Arabidopsis thaliana: one gene and its partner. The protein of the gene in region 1 interacts with the protein of each later gene in a pairwise test. Each region holds a gene or a part of one and is shown on either strand. Other genes may lie near its edges.

Region 1 (5,131 bases):
CATTTTTGAGAATATGGAATTTGGAGAGGGCAAGTCGCGTTGATCCTTAGCCATTTGTCTACACATAAACTGTAGAAATGTTGTCTACAAGGAAGTTTTGTCGGACTTTTAAAATAGCGGCAATATTGGCTTTAAGCCTTTAACAGTTTAACTACTTCCACACGCTTCTCTCTTGTTGCTACTTACGATTACAGAATAACCACATTAGTATGGTAGATAATCGTAATATGATCTCTTTCTCTTTTCCACTTTTATACGTTTCCACTTTTAAGTTAATTTCTCTTTGTTTGAATACAACATCTACTTAATTACTTGTTGATTTTTAACTAATTTTAGAGATTTTGTGATATCTTATATATGACATTCACGTGTAGATGATCATTACACTCATTGTCATCTTATTTTTGATAATTTCATTTCTGTTGTATTATCAAAAATGACTAAAGCCATCACTCTTGCTATCTTTATGGTCGTCCTCGTTTTAGGTTTGCTTTATACATAACACATATTTTAATATTTTCCACGTTCCGTCTTTATTATTCATACTAGTTTTTCTTCAACAACACCTTTTATTTTTCTATCAAAAGGAAACTGAGACTATGTTTTAATTTTTTTGTATTAGGGATGGTGACAAAGGAAACGCAAGGAGAAGAAAAACAGTGTTATGATTATCTTTTAACACCGCAGGAAAACTGCGAAGGTTTGATATGCGCACATGAATGTACTATGCAGCATGGTGGAAACGGCGTGTGTGTTGATACTACAAGCACGGTCTGCATCTGCACTTATGACTGCACCAGTTGATTTGTCTTCTGTTATCCACAAACTATATCATCAATCTTTGACTTACTACGTTGAATAAATTTTTAGAATACAATTGATTGCAGTGATTTATATATATATTTTTGAATGTGAATTCTGATTAAATAGTGATCTCTCTCTCTCTTTTTCACCTCACTACAATGACGTCACAGCAATATAAACATGCATGGTTCATCACCGTACATTAATCTAATTAATCCGTTGCTTAAAAACACCAAACGGCTAAAATCACAACTGACTCGATGAATAACATCTTCCAACCGAACTATATATACTTATTGCATTTACAAATATCATATCCAAAAAGACAAGATGTGCAGCTTCATCTCAAAACAAATCTCAAGGTCTTCTTTCTTGTTCTTTCCTCTGTAATGGTCAAAAGAACAAACAGGCTTTGAAGTAAATGATGATGATGAGCTCATCACATTCCACAAAGATTGAACAGCAAAATCTTTCTCCTCATCACACTTGTTCACTGCCACTAGGTTCACCATTTTTGAGGATATTGAATTTGCAGAGAGGGCAAGTAGCGTTGATCCTTAGCCATTTGTCTACACATAAACTGTGAAAATGGTGTCTACAAGGAAGCTCCCTTAGTTCTACTCCATCTTCATAAGCACATAGACAAATGCTGCATTCCTGCAATGGTTTTTTTTTTCCGGTTTTGCTAAAGTCAGTTCAGTGTCTTTATCCAAATTCGATAGAAAATGGGAGATTTGATTATGGTTACTTACAGCATCTTCGCTTAATAACATACGTTCGGTTTGAGACTCGGTATCTAATCCAGTCATTATCCCTCCTTGAGTTTCCCGTATTTCGCCATTCACTTTCTCAGAATTCTTTACTGTGAGAAACTTGAATTTTAAAAGCCTCTCTATCTCTTCATCCGGTGCACCTTCCTGAAATTTACAAATCGCTTAATAGGATTCACCAAGAAACATGAGACTCATTTGTTCTTCATCATCATAATGTTTCTTTACCTGATCTGCTAATGCGTACAAGATCGCAATGATGCAAGGTAAACAGCAACAAACAGCAATACCAATAAGACTAGCAACCGCTACGCAAATGACAACAAACATAACATCAAACGCAAGGAATGCAACACAGAGCCTGCAAAACACACAAGAAACAAAGATTAAATAAATCACAGAAACAAACTCTTGAGAATACAAAATCACAACAGCCAACTTTTGTTAGAAACAAACCAGTAGAGTTGTGGCGAAGATTGAGCTAGTGCCTCGGTATCAGCCGTCACCCAGTAAAACCCGATGATCCACCACACAAAAGAGAACATGGTATTCGCAGATTCAAGGTGCTTAGTGAAACTAGAATAGGAAACAAACCACATGAGAGTAGATCAATGGGAAACAGTTCTCATTCAGTTCTTTATTTCTATACAATCCTAAAAGTTTCCTTCAACCTAACATGGCTCTGAATTCTAAGCTAGTATAAGTCTATCACAAGAACCAACATTGCTCTGAATCTAAGCTAGTATAATGCTGTAGCCATAAGAAAGAAATTGAACCTAGTTCCATGGTCATCATCATCAGTGTTGTTAATGCTATAGCCATCAGATTCATCTTCACTTCCGCTAAGAGACTCGTGATTGGAGGAATCTTCACCACTAGGAGGAGGAGAATTAGCAACACGGCGACGTTTATACTCAGCAATGACACATCCAACATGAAACAAACACTGAACATTATACCCAATGATCCACAACCTAAGAGGAACATCAGGATCTTCATCAGAACTAAACCCTAGAATCGCGATTGAAACAATCACAAATAGGAAATTCCAAAGTATATCGAGAACTATAATGGGTTTAGAGTAAGCCCATTGACTCTGCCGTTCCTCAAGCTGCTCAGCCGCCACCTCACGGACTCGAACGGAGGGCTCACGGAGCATCATCCGGCGGTTGCTAGCACGGCGGAGAAGTCTCGACGCCGCGCCACGAATCGGCTGAGAGGACCGTGGGCGGTTACGTCTGTTCCGGCCAAGAAGCGGCGAAGCGTCCATCGTATCAGTCGTCGGAGAAGAAGATACGGTAGAAGGGATCGATTGATTCATCAATTAGAAAGATTGGATCTTGGGTAATCGGGTTGATCCAGAATCTCGATGGATCGGGTTTGAATTCGCTGGAAATCTGTCGACTTTGCGGGGTGGATGATTCTAGGTTTCGAGGACCAGTTTCTATCTAATGGATAATTGACAAAACGACAAGAGAATGTCTTGTCCCCAATAAACGTTTTGATATCATGAGACTACAGTAGTTTTATTCTTCCGGGAAATTCTAAAAAAATACATAAACTTAATGTAGTTGCTCAAATCTTTTTATTTTCCAAAAGGACTTTTTATATTTTTGCTAACATTTTTTGTACCCCCACAATTTGTGTTATGTTAAGTTTATATCTAAATTATATCATTGTAGTAGACATACTTTATTTTCGAGGTTTAAGGCTCAATTCAATATCTAAATTTTGAGAGTTTAAACTCCAAATATGCGTATTATAGTTAGAAGGGGATTATTTGATGGATCCTTACAACTTATTTTTTAAAGATTAATCCAACTTATTGTACATGAAAATCAGAATTGTAAGATAATTAACTGGATTTTATTTACATATATTTTATAGATAAAAATCTATGAGAATGCACCTTGGACCATTCAATGTATTACAAATTTTAAAATTATTAGTTGTATATATAAGAGAAGCTCTCTTATTTAATTTTATTTTAATTGATTTTGTAAATATCCTTCCTATGTTTATATATTTTATGATTTTGTTTCCATTCCCACCATCTAAATAACTATTTATTTATTGATTTTGTCTACTTTTTTTTATTCATGTACATACTATATGTATATATTTAATTTCTTTTATATATATATAATGATATTCACATCTATATTATCATCAACATTTCTGGTTTTTTACTCTAAAATTTTTATCAAAGATGGCTAAATCCACCATATTCGCTATTTTCATGATCGTCTTCGTTCTAGGTTTGCGTTACATATACCATTCTTTAAAACATTTAATACATCTTTTTGGTTCTATGAAGATTGTGTTTAAAGCTTATGTTTTAATATTTGTTAGGGATGGTAACGAAAGAGACGAAAGGACAAGAAATGTGTCGTGATCTTTTAATGAGAGCTAAAAACTGTGACGATAGCACTTGTGCTACTCTGTGTAAGCAAAAATGGAAAGGAAATGGATCGTGCTTCCCAAACGTATATAGAAAAAGCTGCCTCTGCACATTTCCTTGCAAAACTTGAACTCTTACAAAGTCAAATTGTAATTTATAATAGTAATAAAATAATGATAATAAAACTAATGATAATGACAATGTCACAATGATAATGACATGAAATAAAATTAAACTTACACAATGTCTTATATTATTATATAAATTCTGATTTCATTTTCTTATTTCACATGAACTATAAGCTACTACTTGAGCATATGAGCTTCACAGGGATGGATCATGGATATAACAATTATTTTACAAAATTAAAACATTGGTATATTTGAAACAAAAGTCTTAAAAACACATGAATGAAAGCGGAATGAATAATCTTAGTTATTCCTTATCTAAATTAAAAACATATACATATTCATTAACTAAATAAAATCTGACCTACCAAAAAAAAAACAAAATCAAATCCAATGGTTTTGATGTTGGGCAAGAAACAGGAAATCTAGTTACAAAAAAGAGGTTTTCTTTCATATCTTATTGTTGAATTAGATGGCATTTAAATCAAAAGTTTATCTCATTCTAAAAGTGTTATTTGAATTCAATTCTATTTATATTTGAACAGATTACTTTCTAAAACACTTACTTCCATTCTCACTATCTCTTGACTTGTCCATCTTATGAATATACAGTTTATTTGGATTTTTATTTTCTTTCTAATTAATATACTTGAATGCTTTCCAAATCAAATGCGTCCAACTTTTTTTTCTATTAGGATTGATTGTATATTAGACACGTAGACACACAACTTCACACATATATATAAAGATGATATTTACAAGTCACATATATTACAAAAACCCTCATTTGGTTTAAGATATTAAAAGAACTTCAAATCCTTTTTTTATAGATAAATATCAATGAGAATGCAATTTGGACCATTCAATATATTACAAAATTTAAATTATATATATATAAAGCTCTCTTATTTTATTTAATTTTTATTGATTTTTGTAAATATCCTTCCTATGTTTATATATTTTATGATTTTGTTTCCATTCCCATCATCTATATAACTATTTATTTATTGAATTTGTCTATTTTTTAT
Region 2 (4,045 bases), on another chromosome or scaffold:
AAGTAAAGAAACAGAGATTTTCATTACTGTATCAAAATATAGATTCTACTCATATAATTTTGGAAATTTTTGTCATTTGTATTCTTGATAGGTAACAAGAATTCTAAGATTTGTCTTTAGTAATTTGCTCATAGGTCTATTGGAAGCCGTAATCCGTCATGAGCAAGCTGTACATGGATTCCTTCCCTAGAAATCAACATAGTCTCTATTAGCATTCAACGATGTTGATTTATAGAAATCTTATAACATTGTTTCATTGCATACCTTAGAGACCATTCTGCAAGTATCTCATTGTATTCATGGTGATCAAACTCGTGTGTCATACCCGTTAAAAGCGCTCTCTTTGGACATAGCCTCTTTAAGATCTCAAGAGCCTAAAGAATAGGAATATTGAAACTTACTCTCAAAAAGGTTTAGAGAAGTGAAGCATTCTTTGGGAAGAAAAAAAAGAGAACCATTGAAACAAACCTCTGTAAAACAGATGTGTGTGGGATGTGGTCCTCTCTATTATCAAAGAGATGGTCAGCAAGAAAGGTTATCAAGATCGAAAAAGCGGTAAACAAAAGTTATGAGATGATGTGAACCTTCCACGGTATATTTGTATCCAGGATAAGAAGATCTAACTGTCCAGCCCCAGCTTTGGAAATAGCTGCTTAATCAAAGATTCATAAGAATATCAATCTTTCTCTTTAGTAGAAGTGAACTACAGAGGTATAATGATTAGGGCATAACATAATGAGCTCTTACCATACTCGGTACTCGGTGGAATCCGTGATACGTCTGATATATAAGCCACTTTACTTTTATCGCCGAAGAGGAAACCTAAAGCAATGTAGTCCTCTCCATGCATCACCTAAAGCATAACTAACATTGTTGAGTCTATAAGGTCTCATGGAAGAATTAGACTGTTTTGATTTCTCAAAAGTGAAAAGAAATTTAACCGGAAGAGGCGTGAAAGATAAGCCCGAGGCAGCGAATGGTTCGTCACAATTCTCTTCGATGTTTTTCCAGTCAAGAAGTGAAACTCGTCTAGGTACTTCTTTTACCTTCTTTTCAACCAAATAAGGAAACCTTGTAGCAATACTGCACAATTTTTTGTTGCCTTAAAAGTCTCATCAAATGCTAATTTGAAAAGCTTTAAGCCAGAGTTGAGATAGAGAACACTAATCGAAGATGGTACCTCTCCATTGTAAATTGAGATAGAAAGACGGGAAGTGGATCGGTATCAACAATAGTTGCACCACGAGGTTGAAGAGATCGAATTTCATCTAAGCCATGAACCGCATCTGCGTGCTCATGAGTTAGAATGATCTACACAAAATCATACAAGCATTAGTCAGTAAAAGTTAGATTTCATTTCAGAGAAAAAAATAGATGCAAGAGATCAAGAAGATAAGTATATAAAGGGCTTAACGGAATCGACTCGAGGAATCTTATAAAAGGTAAACCAACGAAGGACTTGCTCTCTAAAACTCTTGCCAACATCAATAAGTATGTACTTATGTCTACCATCTTCTTCCTTGCTGCAATAATCAATCAAGAGCGATGTATTGCATCTGCCAAAAAACAGAGAATCAAGATTCAAGAATGTTCACCAAACCCTAATATATCTGAAATAATTTCCCAAGAACACTAGAAATCGGATGGTTCATTTTTACCTAAAATGGATTAAAACCTAAACTCCAACACGAATATAGACAACAGTAGATGTCTCTTTTTTCAATCAAAACTCCCAACTTCAAAAGGGTCTTTACGGAAAGCAACAAGATTTGACATTTCACAAATCTCCACAGCTTCAAAGACCAAAACCCAAAGAGAAGAAACTGATGACAAGATTTACCTGTAGTTAGGGTTAAGGTGAGGAAGTAAAGAGAGGGACTGAGAACAGACATGGCAAGGAGGATCTGACGGCTGGAGTAAGCATCTGAAATCGGGAACTGCACCGGAGCAGCCTGTTCCAAGAAAGATCAGAGCCGTTCCATCATCATCAGATTGATTCTTCTCCATCTTCTCAAGATTCTGATCTTCTGGTTGGTCTAGCCAAAGCTGATTAATGCCAACGGCTATATCTTTGTTTATTGTATTAGTTGAGATTATATGCGATCCCTTACACAAACTTGTCTTTTTCACAGTATATATATTCCTTTTATTAACATAAAATATCTAAGCCATTACTTTGAGTCTTTGACACTGATATATGTAGTCATAATGATATTGACTACTAATTTTTCCAAACAAAATAGTAAAAGATTAATGACTTACCCCACAAATCCACCGGATTGTGATTTTTTTTGTTATATATCATTGTTTGACTCCTCTAAATTAGAAAAAAATCTTCTACATTTCTTTTTCTGTATAACAAAATCTTAAATTTAAATCGTTATGGTAACGAAATCTTTTCTTTTGTTTTTCCAGTTTATTGATTAAATATACTTCCACAGAATTTAAATTTACTTAATTATTAAAAACAATGCAGTCACAATCTTTCCAATTACCATTTCATTATCTCACAAATTCGACCAAATGTTTTTCATATTTCACAAAAAAAAATATATTAAAGCGCGTGTGAACCATAACCACGCGATTGCCAGCTCAAAAACAAATTCACAAAGAAGCGTACACGACACGCGCTACGACTGAGTGTAAGGATTCTCATAAACTGCTCTATTTTATTTTGCTCAGTCGCAGACAAATCTCAAAACAGATTCGATCGATAAGCAAGAACTTCCAATCTCTAATGGCAGATCAAACAGAATCTCCAAGATCGTATCATATCTTCATCACAATCATGAGTAAAAGACGGACATGGGTTTGTCTCTTCATCGCTGTCTACGCAATTCTCGTATCTTCTTCATGGAACCTCCTGAGATCAGTTCTTAACTGGTACAAGCTTCAATACACGTCATCAAATTCAGATTATTCTCCTTCAAGATTACCGGCGGTATACGCGTCGGTGGTGCTCGGTGCGATGTTTGGAGCTATGTCGATGGTGGCTGCTATGACGGTGGCGGTTCCGGCGGTGATGGTGATTTGGATATCGGTGGTGGTGTTGCTTGCCTTCTTTGGGAAATCAAGAAGAGTTTTAGTGGTTGAAGGAAGGAAGATTACGAGAGAAGTTGTCGGATTTGTGTTTAAGGTTCTTTTGAAAGAAGGCAATGTTGTTGCTGCTTTTTGTGCTGTTTTAGCTTATTTTCTGCTTATTAGAAGAGATTTTGACTCATATTAAGGTTCTTGATTTTTAGATTATTTAGGGAATTTTGATCTAGATTATCTTGAGTCACTCCCGAATGTAAATGTAAAGTTAATTTAGAAAATCAATTGTTAGTAGTAGAATGAAGAAGTTCATGATGCATTGGCTCAATTTTTTTTGTTTGTGGTTAGATAATTTTTCTTGATGACAGCATTTAGTATCTAGAATGGATCGTCCCACAACTTCTCATTTGAGATATTGAAAATCATGATTTGTTATCCGTTTGTGGGTTCATTGCCACACAATTTCAACACATGGACCAATAACCAAGTGATTTACATATCCTATTAAGTTTGTTATCAGTTTTCACTATTTAAGTTACCCGGTTATTATTTTAGTAGCTTAAAACTACATCAACTAGTTGAAGAGGCATGTTTTGCGAAGATAAGATCATATAATAATGGGTTACACAACTTCTTTCTTACTCAAATTCCTTCTTGAGGAAGGTGTAACATTCCAACATTGAAGTAGTGGATTTCACACACTGATACTTATTTTTATAAGTACCTTTCTTGATAAAAAGAATTCTAATACCTCAACTAAAAACTCTAATTTGGGGAAAAAAATTAATGTCTGCAAACCTTTTATAACAAAAAATTCTAAGAACTCTAAAATCATGAAAATGCGTGAATCTTTTTGTCTTTGGAACATATATTGTTGAACTTTTTTTTTTAACTGAGCAAAAAAAAGAATTTTTTTTTGAAAGACCAAATTGGATGACAATTATGTTAAATTTCACATGTTTCTAGGATAATAAGGTAATTTAAATACCATCGCTCGGTCTAGAGAATTACA

Evidence for each region. Proteins that work in one complex are often made in the same cells at the same time.
Region 2: the proteins of AT3G61180 (region 1) and AT4G03600 interact in a protein complementation assay, tested with the Arabidopsis thaliana proteins (one large-scale study listed by BioGRID).

Annotation. Positions count from the first base shown.
Region 1 is NC_003074.8:22,643,444-22,648,574, reverse strand, and holds AT3G61180 (RING/U-box superfamily protein), read right to left. Parts: upstream 3,084-5,131; 5' UTR 2,896-3,083; coding exon 2,351-2,895; intron 2,151-2,350; coding exon 2,031-2,150; intron 1,936-2,030; coding exon 1,803-1,935; intron 1,722-1,802; coding exon 1,557-1,721; intron 1,462-1,556; coding exon 1,285-1,461; 3' UTR 810-1,284; downstream 1-809. Other genes in the region: LCR54 (low-molecular-weight cysteine-rich 54), read left to right, coding at 437-485, 623-804; LCR53 (low-molecular-weight cysteine-rich 53), read left to right, coding at 3,784-3,832, 3,927-4,105.
Region 2 is NC_003075.7:1,603,001-1,607,045, reverse strand, and holds AT4G03600 (pyrroline-5-carboxylate reductase), read left to right. Parts: upstream 1-2,417; 5' UTR 2,418-2,737; coding exon 2,738-3,226; 3' UTR 3,227-3,408; downstream 3,409-4,045. Other genes in the region: AT4G03620 (myosin heavy chain-like protein), read left to right, coding at 1-6; AT4G03610 (Metallo-hydrolase/oxidoreductase superfamily protein), read right to left, coding at 129-186, 265-374, 469-504, 585-649, 748-853, 942-1,083, 1,181-1,311, 1,415-1,556 and 1 more.